Canis lupus familiaris: one gene and its partners. The protein of the gene in region 3 purifies or fractionates together with the protein of the main gene of each other region. This does not show direct contact. Links are inferred from orthologs where the notes say so. Each region holds a gene or a part of one and is shown on either strand. Other genes may lie near its edges.

Evidence for each region.
Region 1: the proteins of USP18 (region 3) and STAT2 purify together in Homo sapiens (affinity purification with western blotting; 6 studies listed by BioGRID and IntAct, with this or other methods). This does not show direct contact. The link is inferred for Canis lupus familiaris from reciprocal best matches to the Homo sapiens genes USP18 and STAT2.
Region 2: the proteins of USP18 (region 3) and MAP3K7 purify together in Homo sapiens (affinity purification with western blotting; 4 studies listed by BioGRID, with this or other methods). This does not show direct contact. The link is inferred for Canis lupus familiaris from reciprocal best matches to the Homo sapiens genes USP18 and MAP3K7.
Region 4: the proteins of USP18 (region 3) and SKP2 purify together in Homo sapiens (affinity purification with western blotting; 4 studies listed by BioGRID and IntAct, with this or other methods). This does not show direct contact. The link is inferred for Canis lupus familiaris from reciprocal best matches to the Homo sapiens genes USP18 and SKP2.

Annotation. Positions count from the first base shown.
Region 1 is NC_049231.1:995,737-1,001,391, reverse strand, and holds part of STAT2 (signal transducer and activator of transcription 2), read left to right. Parts: coding exon 1-86; intron 87-193; coding exon 194-286; intron 287-519; coding exon 520-579; intron 580-948; coding exon 949-966; intron 967-1,183; coding exon 1,184-1,277; intron 1,278-1,426; coding exon 1,427-1,474; intron 1,475-1,555; coding exon 1,556-1,639; intron 1,640-1,794; coding exon 1,795-1,893; intron 1,894-1,995; coding exon 1,996-2,131; intron 2,132-2,253; coding exon 2,254-2,306; intron 2,307-2,435; coding exon 2,436-2,530; intron 2,531-3,125; coding exon 3,126-3,262; intron 3,263-3,436; coding exon 3,437-3,619; intron 3,620-3,852; coding exon 3,853-3,910; intron 3,911-4,974; coding exon 4,975-5,297; intron 5,298-5,581; coding exon 5,582-5,655. UniProt on the Homo sapiens protein: Signal transducer and activator of transcription that mediates signaling by type I interferons (IFN-alpha and IFN-beta).
Region 2 is NC_049233.1:49,889,563-49,895,217, forward strand, and holds part of MAP3K7 (mitogen-activated protein kinase kinase kinase 7), read right to left. Parts: intron 3,279-5,655; coding exon 3,217-3,278; intron 2,140-3,216; coding exon 2,024-2,139; intron 1-2,023. UniProt on the Homo sapiens protein: Serine/threonine kinase which acts as an essential component of the MAP kinase signal transduction pathway. Plays an important role in the cascades of cellular responses evoked by changes in the environment.
Region 3 is NC_049248.1:295,651-301,957, forward strand, and holds the start of USP18 (ubl carboxyl-terminal hydrolase 18), read right to left. Parts: upstream 3,911-6,307; 5' UTR 3,746-3,910; intron 1-3,745. UniProt on the Homo sapiens protein: Interferon-induced ISG15-specific protease that plays a crucial role for maintaining a proper balance of ISG15-conjugated proteins in cells. Regulates protein ISGylation by efficiently cleaving ISG15 conjugates linked via isopeptide bonds.
Region 4 is NC_049225.1:73,261,903-73,267,133, reverse strand, and holds the end of SKP2 (S-phase kinase-associated protein 2), read left to right. Parts: intron 1-2,163; coding exon 2,164-2,377; 3' UTR 2,378-4,060; downstream 4,061-5,231. UniProt on the Homo sapiens protein: Substrate recognition component of a SCF (SKP1-CUL1-F-box protein) E3 ubiquitin-protein ligase complex which mediates the ubiquitination and subsequent proteasomal degradation of target proteins involved in cell cycle progression, signal transduction and transcription.

The DNA of each region.
Region 1 (5,655 bases), on a different chromosome or scaffold from region 3:
GTTAGCTATCAGGATGACCCTCTGACCGCAGGGGTCAACCTGCGGAAGGCCCAGGTCCTGGAGTTGCTACAGCGCCTGCTCCACAGGTCTAGAGGCCGGGGAGGGACCTCCAGGGAGGGCAGAAGGAAAGAGCAAGAGGAGCTATTCCTGCAGAGACTGAACTCTGTATTCTCTCGGCCACCTCTCTCCCCAGAGCCTTCGTGGTAGAAACCCAGCCCTGCATGCCCCAAACTCCCCACCGACCCCTCATCCTCAAGACTGGGAGCAAGTTCACTATCCGAACAAGGTTGGCATTTCAGGACTCATTCCTGCTTCCTTTTTCCAGCCCTCATACTACTGTTTGCTTTCTGGCTTTAGATCTTTCCACTCTTGTCTTCTCCCTTTTCTCTTTAATCCACCTACCTCGTCTCTTTCTTTTTCTTTTTCCCATCTACCTCTTCTAATCTCTTACCTTATCTTTTCCCAACATTTGATCTCTCCAGGAGATTGAAGGTGACCACTTTCCCCTCTTCCACTTAGGCTCCTGGTGAGACTCCAGGAAGGCAACGAGTCACTGACTGCAGAAGTTTCCATTGACAAGTAAGTTGGGGCACGTGGGGCCACAGGGTGGCAGGGACATGGGCTGCTGGGGCAGAGGAGACCCACTCTTCACCCGAGGGCCCTGGGGCTGTGTTCCTACCCCGCCTCCTCGCTCTTGTTGAGCACTATGTGACATGCGGCTTGTCCAGTCCTCATTTGTCCCAGGAACCCTGTGAGTTAGGTATTAGCAGTGCACAGTTCAGATGGAGAGACAAGCCCAGAGAGATTGTGTCTCTTGTGCAAGGCCATAAGACTCGTGAGCACAGATTTGGGTTTGAATCCAGGTCTGTCTGATTCTAAAGACTAAACTCCTAACTTCTGCACTGTTTTGGTTCTCAGTGAATTTTTTTTTTTTTTTTTTTTTTTCAGGAATCCTCAATCACAAGGGTAGGTGTCTGATAAGGATGCTGCCGACTTGGGTGCACTGCACAACCTGCATAATAACCACATTGGGGCTCAGACAAGAAGGAGGTTGACTTGGTTGGGGGTTGGACAAAGGGAGGAGGGGAGGTCTGGAATGAAGTAGGATTTTTGTTGTTTTCCTGCTGAGTATTTAGAATAACTCTTCTCCTCTTCTCCATATATCTTCTTCCTCCTGGAATAGCTTCCGGAAGTTCAACATTCTAACCTCAAACCAGAAAACCCTGACCCCCGAGAAGGGGCAGAGTCAGGGCTTAATTTGGGACTTCGGTTACCTGGTAAGAAGGGCTAGCAGCCTAAGGTTCTGGTCCGGTGCAACGGGCTGAGGGAAGTTCCCAGGCCTTGGGAAGTCTTGAGGCGAAATAGGGGTTCCAGGGACCCTGGAGTCCTCACTCTGGCATTTATTTTATTTCCTGTCAACTCACAGACTCTGGTAGAACAACGTTCAGGTGGCCCAGGAAAGGGCTGCAATAAGGTGAGGCCTGGCCAGAGCAGCGGGGGGATGGGAGGAGCTTGCCACAGGGCCCGCTGACCGCTGTGTCTTCGGCTGTCCTAGGGCATGCTGGGTGTGACGGAGGAACTGCACATTATCAGCATTACAGTCAAATACACCTACCAGGGTCTGAAGGAGGAGCTGAAGGTGAGTGGAAATGGAGGGCAGGGAGAGATGAAGCAGATCTGGCGGAAGGCATTCAGGAGGCGTTAAAGGAAGCCTCTCCAGTGGGAAGTTCTCCTTTGCCTCTGTCAAAGCTAGAAACATCCCATCCCTCTCTCTGACTCTTGTTTTCTCTTCAGACAGACACCCTCCCTGTGGTGATTATTTCCAATATGAACCAAGTTTCCATTGCCTGGGCCTCGGTTCTTTGGTTCAATCTGCTTAGCTCAAACCCCCAGGTAGGAGATGGTGCTAATGGTGCTGGGTGGCAAGGAAGGGTGTGGACGCTTGGCCTGAGGGTGCTCCTTCTGAGCCATCCTGCCCTCTTCCCACTCTTGCAGAATCAGCAGTTCTTCTCCAGCCCTCCCATGGCACCCTGGAGCTTGCTGGGCCCTGCTCTCAGCTGGCAGTTCTCCTCCTATGTTGGCCGAGGCCTTGACCCAGACCAGCTGAGCATGCTGAGGAACAAGCTCTTTGGTACAAACCTCCTTTTCTCCCAGCCTTTCCCCAGCCGTAGTCTCCCCAGCCCTCCACCCTTTCTATTCCAAGGACCCTGGCCTTGCCTGCATCGATTACCTGAACTGTCTGTCTGTCCACAGGTCAGAACTCTAGGACTGAGGGCGCATTGTTATCGTGGGCCGACTTCACTAAGGTAACTCCCTGCATCCTGTGTGACTACGTCTAGCCCCTGTGCAAACACTAGTCCTTGCCCTCCTTACTGCCATCTGCTCACTGGGGGCGACTAATCATGTCTCTTCCTGCCTTTTCATTCCTCCTGCAGCGAGAGAGCCCTCCTGGCAAGCTACCATTCTGGACGTGGTTAGACAAAATTCTGGAGCTGGTACATGACCACTTGAAGGATCTCTGGAATGATGGGTAAGGCCTTGGTCAGTCTCCCTCGCCCCACCCCTAGCTTTCTGCCTTTCTGGGCTCGAGTGGACTCTGTGCGCCCTCATGTGGCAGAAAGGGAGAGAGCAAGCAAATGCTGGTGCAAGGTCACGCGCCTGACGTTTTCGCTCATGATAATAGTCCTAGCATCTGTTGTGCTCCAGAACCTGCTGGATGCTCCTTATGAACTCTCTCGTGTAATCCTTACAACCGTGTGGAGTCAAAGAGAAGTTAAAGAATTCACTCAAAAAAAAAAAAAAAAGAATTCACTCAATGAAAAAAAAAAAAAAAGAATTCACTCAATGGGCCTGCTTGGGACTCAAACCCAGGCCTCATCTGACTGCAGGCCTGTGCTCTTCCCATCACACTACCTGCTCATTTGCCTTTCCAAGGTGCTTTTTCATCTGTGACCACACTGAATCCTCAAACCTCTTCCAGCCCTAGAAGGTGGATACCGTCAGTAAGAGGAAGTGACTTGGCCAAGAGCAAGGGCCAAACCCTGGCGCTGTCTCCCTGTACAAGGAGAGCAGGACAGCAGGACAGCAGGGAGGCATGAGGGCCTCACAGCAGCTTTCTGTTTCAGACGCATCATGGGCTTTGTGAGCCGGAGCAAGGAACGCAGGCTGCTGAAGAAGACCATCTCTGGCACCTTTCTCCTGCGCTTCAGTGAAACATCAGAAGGGGGCATCACCTGCTCCTGGGTGGAACATCAGGATGATGGTCAGCTGCTTCGCCCCGATGTTCCCACAGCCTGTCCTTTATGTCCCTCTGCCAGCCCTTGGCTTCCCTGGTTCTGTCTTGAATCCCTCAGCAGGTTGGGGCTTAGATGGCCAGGGTGGGGGACTCCTAGACCCGACTGTTTCAGGCCTGCCTCTTCCCACATCCATTCTGCAGATAAGGTGCTCATCAACTCTCTGCAACCCTTCACCAAGGAAGTGCTTCAGTCTCTCCCACTGACCAAAATCATTCGCCACTACCAGCTGCTTACCGAAGAGAACATACCTGAGAACCCACTGTGCTTCCTCTACCCCCGAATCCCCCGGGATGAGGCTTTTGGGTGCTACTACCAGGAGAAAGGTAAGGATCGTTGATGTATGTCACTGAAGATTGCAGGGACTCAGGCATCTACAGATCCAGCTCCTTTCTTCCAGACATGGAAAAATTGGTAGCCAGAGAAACGAAAGGATTTGTCCCTGGGACATGGCTAGTTAGTAGGGAAATACAATTATCAAGACCGTTTACACGAGGGGTCCTTGGGCCAGGTGTCCAGTCCACTGACCTCCCTGTCCTCCTGCATATGTCCCCCACAGTTAATCTCGAAGAACGGAGGAAATACCTGAAACATAGGCTCATTGTGGTCTCTAACAGGTGAGAGATGCATTTCTTGCCCATCCTCCCTGGCCTTTGCTGGCTGATGTGGCGACCCAAACCCGCTCAGTTTGCCTCTCTGGCCTTCTTTCCTACGGGCCCATAGTCTCCAACCTCTAGGTTTTTTCCCTCGTTCTGCTAGCCTCTTTGTTCCCTAGTGCTCTGCTGCTATCCTTAGGTTGTTTCCACAGGGCTTCCCTGCTAATCAGAGTCATAATCACTGACGTTAATGGGCATCTACTTGAAGCATAGTACTAGATTTTTTTTTTTTTTTAGAAACAGATTTCTTTTTATTTTATTGAATTCTTCTGAGAACCCATCCAATTAGGTGATAACAGCCATATTTAAGAAAGTTTATTATGTGGCAGGTACTGGACTAAATATTTTGCATTTAGTTTCTTATTTATTGAATCTCCATAATAGTCCTGTGAGGCAGACATGGGTATTTCAGCCGAAGAGCCTGAGGTTTAGTGTGGTGAAATGGCATGCCTAAGGTACATGGCTAGTAAATGATCCAGGTCTGTCAGATTCCAAAGTCCTGCTTTTAACCATCCTACTCTCTGAAGCGTTATTAGGTGGTGATGGTTCCATTTTATCGATGATAAATCTGAGGCACAGAAAGCTGAAGATCACCTATCTAATAAATGATAGGATTCAAACTCTGGCAAGCCTAACTCCAAAGCCTGTGCTCTTAAACCCTCTGCTGTATTGCCCTGTTGCCACCTTTAAAAAAAAATTTTTTTTTTTAATTTATTTAAAAAGAGAGAGAGAGAGAGAGAGAGAGAATGCACGAGTAGGGCCGGGGTAGGAATAGAGGGACAAGCAGAGAGAATCTCAAGCGGACTCTGCTCTGAGCATGGAGCCCGACGCAGGGCTCAATCTCACCACCCTGAGATCATGACCTGAGCAGAAATCAAGAGTCAGATGCTTAACCAACGGAGTCACCCAGGTGCCCTTGCTCTCTTGCCTTCTCAGCCGAGAGAGATAGTCTCCGCTTGCTCCGCCATTCTCCAGTTCACCTAAACAACTAAGCCCTGCCCTTTTGTGTGTATTACCGCATCCAGACAGGTGGATGAGCTGCAACAACCGCTGGAGCTTAAGCCGGAGCCAGAAGCAGAGTCCTTGGAGCTGGAGACAGGACTAGACCCATTGCTACAGCAAGAGCCATGCCTGGAGTTAGAGCCACTGCTAGCGGCTGGGCTGGATCTGGGGCCACCACTGGAGCCCATGCTGGAGCCTACGCTAGACATGGTACCCCAGGGAGTGTCAGAACCAGACTTGGGACCAGAGCTGAGGCTGGAGCCTCTCCCAGACCCTGCATCACAGGCAGTGCCAGAGCCAGATCTGCCCCATGATCTGAGACACTTGAACACTGAGGAAATGGAAAGTAAGTGGTGAGATGGGCCTGGGGAAGTGGGGACACCTTCCCTTTACCAACTGCCCTCCCTTTCCCATTATAGAAAAGGCTAAACTCTAAGCTCCTCATTGGAGGGAGGCTCATTTCTTTGTGATCCCTTTTATTATGAAATGTAAACGCCTTCTCCTTCCCTGACCTAAGTGCCCCCTCACACCTTGTCCAGGCCTCTACTGCCATCCTCCTTCATTTTCCCTGCGGGATTGGGAACTTCTTACCAAAGATCAGGGACTGATTTCTTTTTCTGGACTGTCTAGTTTTCAGAAACAGTATGAAGATTGAGGAAATCATGCCAAATGGTGACCCACTGTTGGCTGGCCAGAACATCATG
Region 2 (5,655 bases), on a different chromosome or scaffold from region 3:
TAAAAAATCCATACTTAGTAACTGATGAGCTTGGCTTGTTAGGGCTTTCTGTATTGACTGTTACACATTTTAGGTACACTACTCAAATATAATTGTAGGCTAGAATGGAAACTATTACCCACTCTTCTGGTGTACCCACACGAACACCACACCACGATCCTTTTGTAAGTAACTGCACTTAGATAATTAATGAACGCAGATAAAATGGCATAACAAAAGTTTCAAAACATTTTACTTGGTATCCCCTTTGTGTAAGAAGAAGAAAAAAGGCTGGGGAAGGGCTCTAGGCACAGGAAAATAACATGTTTTATCATTCACATTCCACTTTTACACTCGTGAACTTTTATTTATGTTTGAAGTTACATCTTATTTAACTACAGTACAAAGTGGGGGCTCATAAAACATTGGCAAGCTAATTAAAATAGATGCTATCAACTTAAATCTATTTCCTACTTTAAAAGTGAGAACAATACAAAGTACCAATTTCGAATGAGTTACTTTTACAAACATTTTCAGGAAGACCATTAGAGACTTTTACAGCCTGATAAACTTTTTAAAGACCCCTTTATTTGGGAGATGTTCAATTTTAACTCCTAAAGTGAAGTTATAAGTGATTAATTAATGATATAAATGAATAATTAATGAAGAGCCTCCAGATGATTTTCTTGTAGTATTTCTCAAAGTATTTAAATAAAATTGATTAAAATTGTCATAGTTTTCGCATTCCCTCAATCTATCATTTCTTTTTCCAGCACAGAACCAACTCCTCGTTCAAATGAATAAAAAAGGAAAAAAGTATAGACTAAATATGTAAAGTAAGAGGTTTTTTTTAAAAAACATAAAGTGTCAACAGTTCTACAATTAGCTCCACAATTTGCAGACTCAAATATTTATTTCCTATAGAGCCTTTAAGGTAGAGTTGCAATCATTTAACAATAAGTTGTGATAGAGCTATTTTTTCTTTTTTTTTTGAAGTACAAACGGAAACTTTCCACAAATTACTTCAGAAAGCAAGAAATTTTCACTTATTTAGATTAAAATCAATAGAGGGAATCCTATTACCATGCCATGATTTTTTCCTATAGCACTTCATTTCAGTTCCCTCTAAAATGAGGATCCATGCAGAAACTTAAGTTTTTGTTTTTTTTTTTTTAAGAATTTCAAATAAAGGAGCATGAAAATTGATTTTCTTAAAAAAGGGAGGAGAGGAAGGCAAACTCAATAACTCTCAGAAAAACATATGCGTGAGTATAAAACACCTTATAAAAACACTCATGGGTATAAAATAAAGTAATCCTACTCTCCTAAATATATACCTGGAAAGACTATATCAATAAAACATTTCTAAGATAAAGTACAGTTGAACATTAGTAAATCAAATTATTTTACCTATGTCTAAGGAAACAATAAATCATTGTAACTATAAATCTAACCAGCTTCTGGTTTCAAAATTCTTAGAACATGAAACACCAGTTTATTTTCCTTAGTTTTAATATAATACATACAGCCAATGGGTTGAGTTTTACATGAAAAACAGCCGAAAGTTCCTTCAAACTTAAAAGATGAACACATATAAAACCTCCAAATTGGAAATACAGTTGACCCTACAATGAGATGAGTCTCAACTAAATGGATCCACTTATACATGGATTTTTGTTCAGTACTGTAAATGTATTTTCTTTTCCTTATGACTTCCTTAATAAAAGTTTTTCTCTAGCTTACTTTAAGAATATAGTATATAATACATAAACATATAAAATAGGTGTTAATTGACTGCTGATGTCATTGGTAAGGATTCTAGTCAACAGTAGGCCATTAGCATTTTTGGGGAATCAAAAGTTACACATGGATTTTTGAATGAGTGGGGGTTCAGCACCCCAACACCCAAGCCGTTCAACAGGCATCTGCATGCTTAATGATTAGTTCTAAAAATTATCAAGCTTTCATGTCTTCCAACAATATTTCATCTTAACATATTTTAAACTCAAAATACTAACGTGTTTATTCACAAAAGATAACTTACTTTCTCTGTAATAACAAAGCAATTTCTGTTTGAACTTTCATATATTCTTGTGCCATTTTACAATGCTGTTCAAACACTGCCATAGATTCTTTGGAGTTTGGGCACGGTGCTAGAGGCTGAAAATAAATCAGGACTGTTAAAACATAATTAAATCAAATCTTAATATCAAGCTGAAAGTTAAGACAGTGACTGTGACATGTTTTTATAGCACTAAAGCAATGGTCTTTTAAAAGTAAGTGTTAGACCATGGCCTAGAAAATTTCAGTGTCCTTTTGTCAGAGTTAACTCAGAACTTAAATTCACACTTGCTGTCTTAACACTTTTGTTGTTACAGAGAATCATGACTATAGAGTATCACTCGCCTCTGGCTTTACATTTCAGGTTGTCAAACCATATTATACGATAAGTTTATGGCTTTCATACTCATGAGGAGACACTGAAGTGTATTACTTATGTTTTCAGTCACTATGAACATGAGACATTGACAGTGTATCATGAAATCTATTAAGTACAAATGAGCTTATGCAAATTTTATATTACAGTACTAAAATTAGAGATCAAAAATGCTATATTCTTGGCATTTTCTTTCTTTCCTTTTTTTTTAGAGAGCAAGAGAGAGAACCTCAAGAGGCTCCATACCCAGCGCAGAGTCTGATGTGGGACTTGATCTTACAACCTTCTGATCATGACCCAAGCCAAAATCAAGAGTTAGATGCTTAACTGACTGAGTCACCCAGGCATCTCCTATTTCTTGCCATTCTTTTTTTTTTTTTAAAGATTTTTTATTTATTCATGAGAGACACAGAGAAAGAGGCAGAGAAGCAGGCTTCATGCAGGGAGCCTGACATGGGACTCGATCCTGGGTCTCCAGGATCATGCCCCGGGCTGAAGGTGGCGCTAAACCACTGAGCTACCAGGGCTGCCCTATTTCTTGCCATTCTTAAACAAAGATATGGAAGTGTTTTAAGACAATTAAATATCTTAAGAACATATGATTTTGCCAACTTCAGATTTGATTAATTTAACTGAATGAATCATTTTAACTTGATTTTAGAAAGTTTAAGTAGGCCAACTAAAAGCATAAGTAAGTGAATATATGATGACAGATATAAACACAACTGTCAGCTTTCTAGATAACTTCTCTAAACTTTCTAAGGAAATAGTAAACAGTCACTGAGAAGGCAATTCTTTACCTGTAGTTGGTGATCCAGTGTAAGATAAGCCATTGGGATAGAGTTATCTGATCCATTGGTATCTGGAATTCAAGTATGTATTTTATTTATTTTATATCATAAATAATTATAAGGACAAAGCAAGAAAGCATGCATGAGATATTGGCATTTTTTTTTCATAAAATAAGTAATACATAAAAGTTATTACTACTGGTAATGAAGAAAGTCTATTCTGAATTCTAAAGGTAAAAGAGAACATCCAATTACCAGATAATCAAAATGCAACCATACTCTGATTCAATTTAAGTTGGCTATAAATTGTGTAACATTAAAGCTTATAAGCCCTTGTTCAATTAAAAACAAAAACATCTACCCCTGAGACTAAATACTACATTATATGTTAACCAACTTTAATTTAAACAAAATCTTAAAGGCAAATAAAAAAAAAACAGTGGTAATGGGACCTTTATACTTTATATTGTCTTCACTGACCCTACCTAATCAAACCTCATAGCTCTCTTTCCTTAATCATGCTGTGTACTATAAGGCTGTGTCAATTCCCTGAATACTAGTGTTCTTTTTTTTTTTTAAGACTTATTTATTTATTTATTCAGAGAGAGAGAGAGAGAGAGAGGGAGAGAGGCAGAGACATAGGCAGAGGGAGAAGCAGGCTCCATGCAGGAAGCCTGACGTGGGACTTGATTCCGGGTCTCCAGGATCACACCCCGGGCTGCAGGCGGTGCTAAACCGCTGAGCCACCGGGGCTGCCCTGAATACTCGTGTTCTTTAATGAAAAAAGGGGGAAAACAAGAGACACATTCTCTTCCAGTAGATTATCTTCTATTTATACAGATTCTAGCATGAACCCCCTCCCACTTCTCCTAATAAGAATCACTGTAGAAAATGGAAGATGTTTTTGATGGGAGTATGAACAGTATGGAAATTATAGCTCAATGTCATGCACAAAACAGCTGAATGGGTTAAATCCAACAACCAGTCGATTTTACCAAAGTATTTTGAACAGACAGCTTTTGTTTGTATTTCAAAAGAGGTAAACTGTCATAACAACTTGCATGAGTCACATGGGATTAACATTTATGCCTCCAGAAGCAGGCAGGATAACTGTGAAGTAATAGGATCTTTTTATTTCAGAAGTAGTTGCTTTCCCACTGTTAGGAGAGAGTAAATGAGTTAAACAAGTGAACTGTTCAGCCCTTTCCCTGAGAAGTAACTCCTTGAAAGAGTGGTGCAGATAAAGACAAGGTCGGGCTGACAGCAATGCACTGCATGCAATGCAATAAAAAAATAGGACAGTCTGATGGTTCAGTAACTTCAATAATTTATTATTGACTGATATTCTAGTTTTCTTTTTCAAAGCCATCGTGAATGTGCTTACAAGTGACTCCAAAAGCTAAGCTAAATCAAATGAAGTAAGATAATGCATGTAAGAAATACCATGCAATGCTAACCTATATGGTAAGCACTCAACATATGGTGGTTATTATTACTGTTATTGCTGTTGTTATTTATACTAAATGGAGAATTAGGAAGGAAGAGTAATTTTATATACTCAAGTTTGTATTTCAGTTTGAAAAAACATTCAGTAATGTTTACTAAATACTGGACAGCAATAAAGAAAGAGTAACAGTGTATTGCCTAGTAGTCTTATCTGACCAAAAATCATATACTAACTGAAATGGCTGAACAAGAAATACACTTAACTTGTTATTTCTCTGACCAACTCTTTCCCCACCCACATCAACAGTTTCAAACTATGTAATCTCCAACAAGATTACAACTGATTAAAGATTATTTGCCCCTGACTTTATAGGAAAAATTAGTCTCTTGAACTCTTTCAACGTTTCTATTCCTATTACTCTTTCTTAAATCTTTCATACTTGATATATCTTATTAAATAAATACTCTGTGTCTGATATGTATTTTAAAATTAAGTATACCAGTGTTTCACAGTACTCAGGGAATGGGGAAAAAAAAATTCAAGGATTGTGCTATTAACTATTAAAACACTCAGCTTTGTGCTGAAAATTTAGTAGTGTCTTAAATTTATTAAATAAAGTATGATGATTTTTTTTAAATTTTTAATGTGCCAGAATTATGACTCTAAGATTGCAAGCAGTGGGCCATGTATTATACTTCCATCTTTGCAAATAAGAAAAATTCCTCAGTGGGTTTTTCCCCCTCTGTGGCTCCCTCTACTGTGTCTAGTCATTTCTCTCACTAACTGCTCTTGGGTATCCATGTCTTTCTCTATATCTAATATATTATAAATAGAAATCCAAGAGCACTCAGTATGTGCTATGATTATTAAATTGATAAGCTTTTTAATTTTTTCCAAAAATGCATAAAAATCCCCCCTTAAAAAAAAAACCTAATTAATTAGGTTATTTAAACCTATGTATGTACTTCTAATTTTTTCCTGAATCAGGGGGACTTCAAAGA
Region 3 (6,307 bases):
TGCACTTGTTTGTGATGAGCAGTGGATGATGTATGGAATTACTGAATCACTATATTGTACACCTGAAAGTAATATAAAACACTATGTCAATTATACTGGAATTAAAATAAAAACTTAATAAATAAAAAATAATCAGAGATACATATAAAGATCTATTTAAGAGATTCATTTTTATGGCCTATTTTCCTTACGCGTTTTACAAATAAAATGAAACACTGATGAGGAAAAGCAGCATTTAGGAGAGTGAAATCACTCTATTACCATTTTGTCTGTTCTTTTAAATATCTTTTTGTTCCTCCTTAATTAACATTAGATGATATTTCAAAGGGGGATTTTTTTGTTGTTGTCAACTGACAAAAAAAATAAAAGGATGCTTTCAAATCTAAGAGCTAAAGCACTACTTACATTGGCCAAAAGAAAAAAAAAATTCAACAATAAAAGTTAAGTAAATTATGACACACTAATAAAATGAAATACTATAGTGACATTAAAATCATTTTAGACTAAGAAAGATGGGAAAATGACTAATATTTCACTGAATAAAAAAGAAATTATTAAAAAAATCACATGGTATTAACTTAATTTTTTAAACATAAATAGAACTAAGAGAGAGAGGAAAGCCTGGATGAAATATGCCAAAAATGTCATTAAAAGTGATTCTCACTGGTGGGATTACAAATCATTTTTAAAAAATTATTTCTCTTAATTTCCAAACTTCTTGTAATTAATTAATATGCAATTTTAAAATAAGCAATAATTCATTTAGGGGACAGATTTAATATCTCTTAAAGGAACTTTTTGGCAATAGTGTTCCTATTCCAAATTCCAAAAAATTAACAAGTTAAGAATGAGAAGAATTGTTAGAATTTCTTTTTCTTAATTCTTTTACAAAATGTAAAGCAAACGTGAAAATCTGAAATTGGAAAACACCTAAACATATAATTGGCATATATTAATAAATCAAGTTAAATGACCCAGATTATGACCTCTTTTACTTGGCATTTATTTTCAACAGTCATAAGCAGTCTTAATAGTCTCTTCACCTGGCTGGCTCAGTCAGTAGAGCATGGGACTCCTGACCTTGGGGTTGTAAATTCAAGCCTCATGTTGGGTGCAGAGATTACTCAAAACAAAAAAAAAATTAAAGGGACGCCTAGGTGGCTCAATGGTTGAGCATCTGCCTCCAGCTCAGGATGTAGCCCCGAAGTCCTGGGATCAAATTCCGCATTGGGCTCCCCACAGGGAGCCTGCTTCCCCCTCTGCCTGTGTCTCTGCCTCTGTGTCTGTGTGTGTGTGTCTCGTGAATAAATAAAATCTTTTAAAAAAATAAAAAATATTAAAAAATAAATAGTCCCTTAATAAATTAAATAAATAAAAAATAGTCTCATAGTCTTATAAGGCTCATCCTGAAGGGTTTAAACTAAGAAAGAAATGATGGCAGCTGGCAATTCCTTGAGCAAGAAATAGGATTCTAAGACCACACTGAGGGAAATCTGATGAAACAGAGTAGAACAGGACCAGCCTGTGTTTTCCAGAGACATTGTTCTATACTCCACTAAGCCCTCAAAACTATTTATGTCAGCCCAATATAGCAGTAAAACCCAGTGAAGAGTATCATTTGGGTAAGCTGGCAGGTCAGATTCCAAAAGGGCAATCGTCAGAGCTGATCATAGAGGGGAAACAGGTAGGTGTGGCTACAAAAGGAAGGAAAATGAAACCTAGAGGTCTAAGAAGGTTGGAGAAAGGCAGAGTGATCAGAGAACATGCGGTTGAACTAAGAAGGTGGCAAGAAGCATCAACCAGAGAAAAAAAGATGGTTTTATTTCAAGGAAACTGAATTTTTAAACTCAAGCCCTGACTCAAAAAGTTTGCTCCAACATAGGATTTTTAGGGCAGTGAAATTATTCTGTATGATACTATAATGGTAGATACTCGTCATTATACATTTGTCAAAACCCATATGACACCAAGAGTGAACCATGTTGTAAAGTATGAACTTTTGGTGATAATGATGGTGTCACCGTAGGCTCATTAATTGCAGCAAATGTATCACTCTGGTGCCAGGTGTTAATAATGGTCTCGATGTGGCAGAGGGAGGGAATGATCTGTGGGAACTCTGTACCTCCCAACTTTGTTCAACTTTGCTGTGAACCTCAAATTGCTCTAAATACAGTCCATTATTTTTTAAATGCTTTTTGGTTTCAAAGAACTAAACTAATTTGGCCCCCAACCTCCCTCAAATTTTTATCCTTAAAATAAGTAGGAGATGTGAATGATAGAAGCAGGTCTAAGTCCACCATCACTGTGGCCACAGAATCAATCAGTCTTCCAAGAAACATCAAAAAAATGTGATGCAGGAAAACTGAGTGGTCTGGGTCTCTACCTGGGCTGGGCTCTTCACCACAACTAGGCTCTCCAGTCAGGAAAACTGACTGTCTTTAAATGGCCTAAAAGGAACAAAATTAACATGCCTATGACATGATACAAACCATATCACAGTCTTCCAAATCCAAATCATCATGGCAACAACAAATTTAGGCCTTATCCTTAATCATGTGTTTTGCTTCTTGAGTAGTGGTGATGTGCTGTGTACACCGCTTAGAGCACACCAGATGAAATCCCAAATAAGACGGAATGAATCTTGAGACTACTCTCTCCAAAAGAATCAACTCATGTGGAAGGCATTAGGATTTATCTTCTTTGAGGCTGTGTACATGTTAAGTATTTCCCCTTTGCAAGCCCATCATTGTGTAAAAGTGCCAAAAGCACAACATTATTAATAGTGAAAAAAGGAAAAAAAAAAACTTTTTTTAAAGTTCTTTGATAGTGCTCCATAAATCAAGATGGAACTGCTCTCCTACTCCCTCCTACTTATTTTGTTCCTATGAACACATTAGATAGCCTAGGTATCTAGATCTAAACCTCCTCCCCACCTCACTCTGCCACCACATAACACTATAAAGAAATGTTTTTAAACATTTGTCTTATTTAAGGGGCACCCAGGTGGCTCAGTTGGTTAAGCCTCTGAGTCTTGATCTTGGCTCAGGTCAGGATTGCAGGGTCCTGAGATTGAGCCCCCCCCCCCCCTTGGGCTCTGCACTCAGGGTGGAGCCCGCTTAAGATTTTCTCTCTCTCTTCCAATGCCCCTTCCCCCCTCTAAAAATTTTAAATAAAATACTAAGAAAATAACTGCTTTGTTTTTCTGGAGTAATTTCAAAGTATAACTACCTCACTGCTATAAAATATGCAGTTAAAGCTACTGCTTTAATTTTCCAACACTCTGAAACCCATATTTTCAAGAGTTATGGAATGAAGTTTTATGTTTCAATAGATCTAAATTTAGTTCTCTTCCAGGAAAAAAAAGGCAAAGAGGTTGGAGGAAGATCAAGATTAAAATACTCTGATTTGCACATTTTGACAAAATCTTTCAAATTTCTCAATATATACACCCGCTGACTGAGCAATTCCACCTCTAGGAATTTTTCACAAATATATTTGTATATTCACATGAATGTGTACATAAAATGATATCCACTGCTGCATCATCTATACCAATAAAAACTGGAAACAACCTAATGTCTATGAATTGTTTAAATAAGTATCATGTACCAATTTTTCTAAATGAGGTTGATGTATCTATGTTTTGCTATGAAAAGAGGTCCATCGTATACTGTTGAGAGGGAAAAGGCAAATTACAGAACAATTTTAACGACTTGTCTGGATGAGAATTTAGCGCCCAACTTGCCTCAAGTTCCACGAGACAGCCAAACGTCCGCTGCGAAGTTCGATGCTAGGGAGCCTCGAAAAAGCCTTCTCTGCTCTTGCCTGCAGCGAGCTCGCCAAGACGCCGCTGGGAGCGCACGGCCGGACGGCGCCCTGCGTTCCCGGCGCAGCTCGAGCCCGCGCCCGCGCCCCCGCCCGCCCCGCCCCGCCCCGCCCCCTGCGGCCGCGCAGCTTTCGTTTCCCGCAGAACCGAAAGCGAAACTCAGCGAGAGGCGGGCTGCGCAGGCGGCCTCCGCGTGTGGGGCACGTCGCGCCCGGGACGCCCCGCCCTCCCCGGGGGCTCGGGGACCCGGCGACCGCCGTCCTGGGGGGCTGCTGAGGCGACCCCGGGAGCCACACGTGTGCCCTTGGGAAGATGTGCTGCTGTTGGTGGGACCGTGACCTGGGGCAGCCACTCTGGGAAGCTGAGGGTCCTCGAAGAGCTAGAGATAGACCTGCCCTGCGACCCAGCGGTTGCCCTGCTGGGGATTTACCCCAGAGATGCAGATGCAGTGAAACGCCGGGACACCTGCCCCCCGATGTTTCTAGCAGCAATGGCCACAACAGCCAGACTGTGGAAGGAGCCTCGGTGTCCATCGAAAGATGATGGATAAAGAGGATGTGGTCTATGTATACAATGGGATATTCCTCAGCCATTAGAAACGACCAATACCCACCATTTGCTTCGACGTGGATGGACCTGGAGGGTATTATGCTGAGTGAAGTAAGTCAGTCGGAGAAGGACAAACATTATATGGTCTCATTCATTTGGGGAATATAGATAATAGTGAAAGGGAATAGAGGGGAAGGGAGGAGAAATGTGTGGGAAATATCAGAAAGGGAGACAGAACATAAAGACCCCTAACTCTGGGAAATGAACTAGGGGTGGTGGAAGGGGAGGAGGGCGGGGGTGGGGGGACTGGGTGATGGGCGCTGAGGGGGGCACTTGACGGGATGAGCACTGGGTGTTATTCTGTATGCTGGCAAATTGAACACCAATAAAAAATAAATTTATAAAAATAAAAAAATAAAAAATAAATAAAGATCTGTGCTGTGCTTGCGGTCCTTGCGGTCCTTGCCCTTTGCCTGAAAGTCCAAGAATACAGGGGTCTTTTTTTTTTTTTTTTTGACACTTTAGGATCCTGGTAATTAGGATGCGCCTTACAGTCGTTTGTCACATTTTGTCTTTCATTATCACAAAATCGTGCATCGTGAACTCAATGGCTGTAGGTTCACTGAGATGTGGCGCCCAGGACGACGTCTTTGTGCTGTGTCCTGCTGCCACTCTGAGGAGCCAGCAGAGGACAGACATGGGACAGTGGGAAAAGGGGGAAAGAAGTCAACTATTTACTCCTCCTTAGAACTTAGGGTGGTGAGATCTAACAAGATGGTGCTCTTTGAACGCACTGGTTGACATTTCTCAAAACTAGGCAAGAAAGAGGGTTTTTTTTTTTTTCATTTTTTTTTATTGAAGTTTGATTTGCCAACGTATAATATAACACCCAGGGCTCATCCCATCAAGTGCTCTCCTCAGTGCCCATCACCCATTACCCCATCCCCCACCCACCTCACCTTCCACAACCCTTTGTTTGTTTCCCAGAGTTAGGAGTCTCTCGTGGTTTGTCTCCCTCTAATTTTTCCCACTTAGTTACTCTCCTTCCCTTATAATCTCTTTCACTATTTCTTATATTCCCCGTATGAGTGAAACCATATGATTGACCTTCTCCCACTGACTTACTTCACTCAGCATAATACCTTCCAGTTCTATCCATTTTGAAGCAAATGATGGGTATTCATCTCTTCTGATGGCTGAGTAATATTCCATTGTATACATAGACCACGTCTTTTTATCTATTCATCTGTGGAAGGACATGGAGGCTTCTTCCACAGTTTGGCTATTGTGGACATTGCTGCAATGAACTTTGGGGTGCAGGTGTCCCCGTGTTTCACCACATCTGTATCTTTGGGGTAAATACTGCAAGAAAGAGTTTAAATTGAACCTGAGTAATAATGGTTTCAAAATAAAGTTTGGGCCCTGAGAAGTATTTTCTGTAGCTTGCACAGTGTCACTGAAAATTGCTAATGGATTTCGTTCTCTTTTCCCTTTTTAATTTAAAGTGCAAGACAAAAAGCCACACCTAAGTGCTAAAATTGAAATTCTGCCTAAAAATTTGGTCAGAGAGGAAGAAGCTTGGCTGACTTTATGGGATTATCTAGTTATTCTCCTTAGAGAAAAGTTAATTGTCAAAAATGATGAACAATTTATAGAACCTGATGCTAATTTTTGTTCTAGGAAAAGGACGGACTTTTTGCATGGGATAGGGGCAAGTGGTGTTTTAAGAAAAAGGAAAAATGGGCAGCCCAGGTGGCTCAGCAGTTTAGCGCCGCCTTCAACCCAGGGTCTGATCCTGGAGATCCGGGATCCAGTCCCACTTCAGGCTCCCTGCATGGAGCTTGCTTCTCCCTCTGCCTGTGTCTCTGCCTCTCTCTCTCTCTCTCTCTCTCTCTCTCTCTGTGTGTGTCTCATGAATAAATTTTTTAAAAA
Region 4 (5,231 bases), on a different chromosome or scaffold from region 3:
GAAATAATGGCTCTTCAACTGTTCATTTCTATTTCCTGTCCTTTGGTTGCTTTTCAGTCTAAAGAGATGCTTATCACATGGGTTCCGCTGTGTTATAGATGACGCATGTACTAAGGGGTTTGATATCAGTGTTTTTAATGTTTTAGTCCCCTTAAAATTTTAGAAGACCATCCTATGCTATGCAGCTCACTCCTTTGTCACCTAGGACACCATTTCCTTACTCCCAGCCAGGCTCCTTCCCAGGCCGTTGGCAAGAACGTTTCCTCTCCTGCCGTCTGCTGTACCTCCTTCCCTTCCGCCCACCTACAGTTTCTGCTTCTAATACTGTCCACTGTAGGATGACTTATAATTGGGCTAATTCAGATATCCCAGCACCCAAATTCTTACTACAAAGTTCTCAAATACTCAGATTTCACATAAGAGGATTTAAGCAGAATTGCTGTCAGGTGATGGTGAGTATAAACATCTATGTGCCGTGACCTTCTCTGCCTTCCCGTGTCTATATTCCAGAGGTTACTTTACTTTAAGAAGAAAAGTACTTTGTTCTTCCTGATTTTCTTTTTTGTCTGTTGTAACCTCCAGATCTTGTTGCTGTCCTTTTATGAACACCAAGCATATTTGTTTTACTTAGGTAGTACTTTTATTTTCTAAATTACCCTCCATCTTTATTCAGCTAACATTTATTAGCCTCTGTGGTGTTTAATACACTTGTTGAATGTAGAATAAATCCATTTAGAGGGTAATGGGGTGACTGGGAGAGCAGACTGAAAACATGGAAAGTCCTAAGGCCAGCTGAACGGTTTGAGTTCCGTAAACAAGAGGACAGCATCAAAGGCTTGGGTGGGTGGAGGGGGTGGGGGGTGACATAATCTTCCTAGGCTTTAGGAAGATGCCTTGAACATAGGTACATAGAATAGGCTGGAAGGAAGAAAAGATTGGAGGCCAGGTTACAGTTACTATGAGGAAAGTTTGGTTTTTTTAGTAATTAATCGGCAATATGAAAATATAAAGGATGCTTCTAACTCTAGGTCATTGATGTGTTCATTGATCTGTAGTGGGATTTTGTTGATATTCCAAACTAAATATTCCCTTTCCTAAGACTTTGTACTGTGTGTCCCAACCTGGAGCAAATACAGATCAGAGAGATGAATTCCTAAGCACATAGATCTGAGCTAAGAAGAAAGAATCATTACCTAAAAGTATTTGCTTTGGGGAAACAGGCTCTCTTTTTTGTGGACCAGAATTTCTCTGTTGACAGAGTTGTATTTCACTTAATGGGAAATAGCTAAGAAGAGGATTGGCATATATGTGACCAAAAAAATAAAAAATATGTAAAGAAGTCAGATGGCTTTTGCCTCTCGTAGAAAAGGTGTGACTAATCAATCCTTTTCTCCATCTGTGCCCAACTACTCCCATCTGCACCCACCTACGCAGCCCTGTCCTAAATACCATAGCAAAGTCGCTGTTAGATGTTATCACAGGTAATGGACCTACTAAGAAGTTACTTTAACTTCTCTTGCTCCTCTTTTGAAAGAGCCTGGTTCAAATAAAGGTCAAGTCCATATTTTGGAATTACATGTAACCTGTGGTGATTCTTTGCCATCACTGGCTCCCAGCTTCTCATGACACTTGAACTCCTTTCAGTTTTAGATCAAGAATAGAAAAAGGATGGGCAGCCCGGGTGGCTCAGCGGTTTAGCGCCGTCTTTGGCCCAGGGCGGATCCTGGAGTCCCGGGATTGAGTCCCACGTCGGGCTCCCTGCATGGAGCCTGTTTCTCCCTCTGTCTGTGTCTCTGCCTCTCCCTCTCCCTATGTCTCTCGTGAATAAATAAATATTAAAAAAAAAAAAAAAAAAGAGAGAGAATAGAAAAAGGAAGCAACTATGGTTGGATTTTAAAGAAATCTCAGCATTTTTAGATTGTGAGAAAACATTTAACAAAATGCGCCTGCGTGGGTCCTGGGGCCATGTTGTCCGAGCACAGAAAGGTCTGTGCTTTCTGGTTTGATTCATCTATTCTATTTTCTCAAATCATTGATTGCAAATTATGTTTTCAGTTTGCATTTTGTAGAATATAAAACAAATGGTAAAAATTGGGTCATGTAACTCTGGTGGATCAGTTACCATAGATACTGCTATTCTGAGAAGTCTCTCTTCCTTTCCAGTGAACTTGGAGAAATCCCCACACTAAAAACACTACAAGTTTTTGGAATCGTGCCAGATGGTACCCTTCAACTGTTAAAAGAAGCCCTTCCTCATCTGCAGATTAATGGTTCCCATTTCACCACCATCGCCAGGCCGACCACCGGCAACAAAAAGAACCAGGAGATATGGGGCATCCGATGCCGGCTGACACTGCAAAAGCCCAGTTGTCTATGAAGTATTTATCACAAGATGGTGTCTCCTCTTTTCTTTGGAACAGGGAAAATAGGCAGGAAGCCTGCTTGCTGGAGCACTCAGCTGTTTTTATTCTTGGTTTTCCCTTTGCCTTCATTCTGCAAGTATGTTAGACAGCCGTTTGAGAGAGAAGACTATGAAGTTTTGCTTTTTCTAAATAACCAGAAAAGCTTCGGTCACTGCTTTTGTACACTTAGGAGCCTAAGTTTAAGGCCTTTGGGAATTTTAGGAGAGCCTGTAATTTCAGGATGCCTTAAGCAGCAAGATTTGAGCCACCTCTTTCAAGTGCCCTTCTTATTAAATCTATTTAGAATCAAGCGTAAGAATCACCACCAGCAAATCGTTCTCACAATCTATATGGTGACTTCTATTTAATTTTTCAGTATTGCTTTATGAGACATAGACTGCTAGAAGTGTTTGTGTTGTGAACGGAACAAAAGGAGAATCATAGGATAGTAGCATTTGTGGCAACCTCTTCTGGAGATAGAAAAATACGCATTTCAGCTTTGCCTGTAGATATGAAATTAGGTTCATGGAAACAAATAGCTCTGGGCAATTCACACTAAATGACAAATGACTGACCAATCAGAGGTGAAGAATTGGTAGAGAATTTGAAAGCTCAAGAGGCAGTTTTCTATGACAGGTCAATCTGAAGTATCTTCTCATGCACATCAGTGAAGTTTCCATAATGTCATGTGCTCGCAGAATTCCGAATTAGCTGAGGAAATATAATTGTGGTCTTCTAACTTTGTGATCAAATGACGTTAACATGGGTTCTTTCGCTTTTAAAATGGCTCGCTTTGTTTCAGACAGATGCTAGTAGCTGGTCAGTCTTTATTCTTGAAATGTTGGATGGAATGCCAAACTGAAGTTCCCTGCCATTTTTCCTTTATTGTCCAAGTTCTTGAAGTTATTTTTATATTACTCTGGAATCAAGTATTTTCAATTGCCTTTTTAAAAAAAATGTCCCCCACAATAATTGAAAGTCATTATTTTCTAAAGTTACCGGACATGGAGTTGCCCAAGAAGAACTACATGTTCATTCACTCAGAAATACACATTAGAAGTAGGTGTGAGTTCCATGCAGTTTCTAAGCAGTGAGACAACTTGAAATGACATCAAGGTTAAGACTCAGGTGTGGAATCTTTTGATAACAACAGTGCTTTTATTTTTTTTTTTTAATAATGTCTAGAAGAAAAAGGATTAAATTCTACTTTAAAACAAAACACTAATTTTTTAATTTAAATTGATCTTCCCATATGTTCAAAATGAACAAAAAAGCTAAAACCTGTTATTTCTATTAATTGTTTTTAAATCAGATTCTTCAAATGTCAGAAACAACGATTTGAAGTGCCCTTATCTGCCCAGACCTAAGGAGGAACATTTTAAAGTGGTCTTATGCAGGAAATAATTATGTTTTGATTTTGTACTGATTAAAAAGTGCTACATATACTACATGAAATTATTGTTTACAGATTAGTGACAAGGGCTGATGATAGTACCCAATTGGGCTGTGATTTCCAGATGCCCTCAAATGTACAGTACTTCCAAACTCAAGTCCAGCCATAAGCTATTTTGCTAACATGTCAGAGTGATCTGTATTTTTGTATGTGATTTCTACTTTTATACACCTGTTTTAAAATAAAACAATTTTTATAAAAATGAGTACTTCCGCTGAGTTGTATTCTTTTGTTCTTTCCCTCTCTCTCTCTCTTTTTTTTTTTTTTTCCCTAAGTACTGTGGTTAAAATTAGCATTTCGTCTGGGGTGTCTTTGGTCCCAGCCCTCTGGTTATGGCTACAAAAGGACCCCAACAATGGTCCCCTTTGTTCCATCCACATCATATGCTTTTTGTCAAATTAAAATGATAGTGTGAATGCTTTCTGAGAAGGTACTAAGTACAGGTTTATTCTTTAAAGTGCTTCTAAAATAGTAACATTTATAAAACATTTGAAATTCAAGTGATTAATATACTAAAGTACTAATAAAAGGCAGCTAGTAGGACTTTTTAAATATAGACGGGACCAGCTCATACTATATATCTTACTCTCATTAATCTGTCCCCTATTTCCATAGGTTCAGCAGCAAAAAGCCCTAGACTGAAGGTAATATTGCCATGGTAGTGAGATCAAGTCCTAGGATGGGCTCCATGTTCAGTGTGGAGTCTGCTTGTGACTCTTTCTCCCTCCTCTCTGCCCTTCCCTGCTGCATTTTCTCTCTCTCTAATAAATAAATCTTTTTTAAAAAGAGGAATAGAATTAGTTCCGACCCATGCCTTACTGAGTATTCCTATAAAATATTCAAATTAAAATATTCTTTCCTAATTTTCTCTTTAGTTCCTCTTTATTTTGTCAGTAATTTTCTTAAAAATGTATCTTCAGGTCCATGACACTTAAAAACAAATACTCATGTTTTCCTTAACGTAGAAAACTTAATAAGCCTTCTTGTTGACTTATGCCCTGATCCCCTCATGCTTATTTTTAATGTTAAAGTCGAGAATATACTGCATTGGAAAGAAACCATTTCTCCTTGTAGCTCAGCAGTTCATCTGTATATTACTGTTATCCCTTCCCGCCCACCAATTTAATTTTTTTCATTATATCATTTATATGTCATATTATCCCTGGGATCTTTTTTACGCATTGTCTTGGTAGGTACTATCCCTAAGTATAATGATGCACATATTATTGGTACATTGGCAAAACTGAATGAATTTTTTAGTGATTTAAATCCTCAATTACCTCTTTTTTTTTAAAGTACTTTTTTTTAAATTTTTATTTATTTATGATAGTCACACACAGAGAGAGAGAGAGAGGCAGAGACATAGGCAGAGGGAG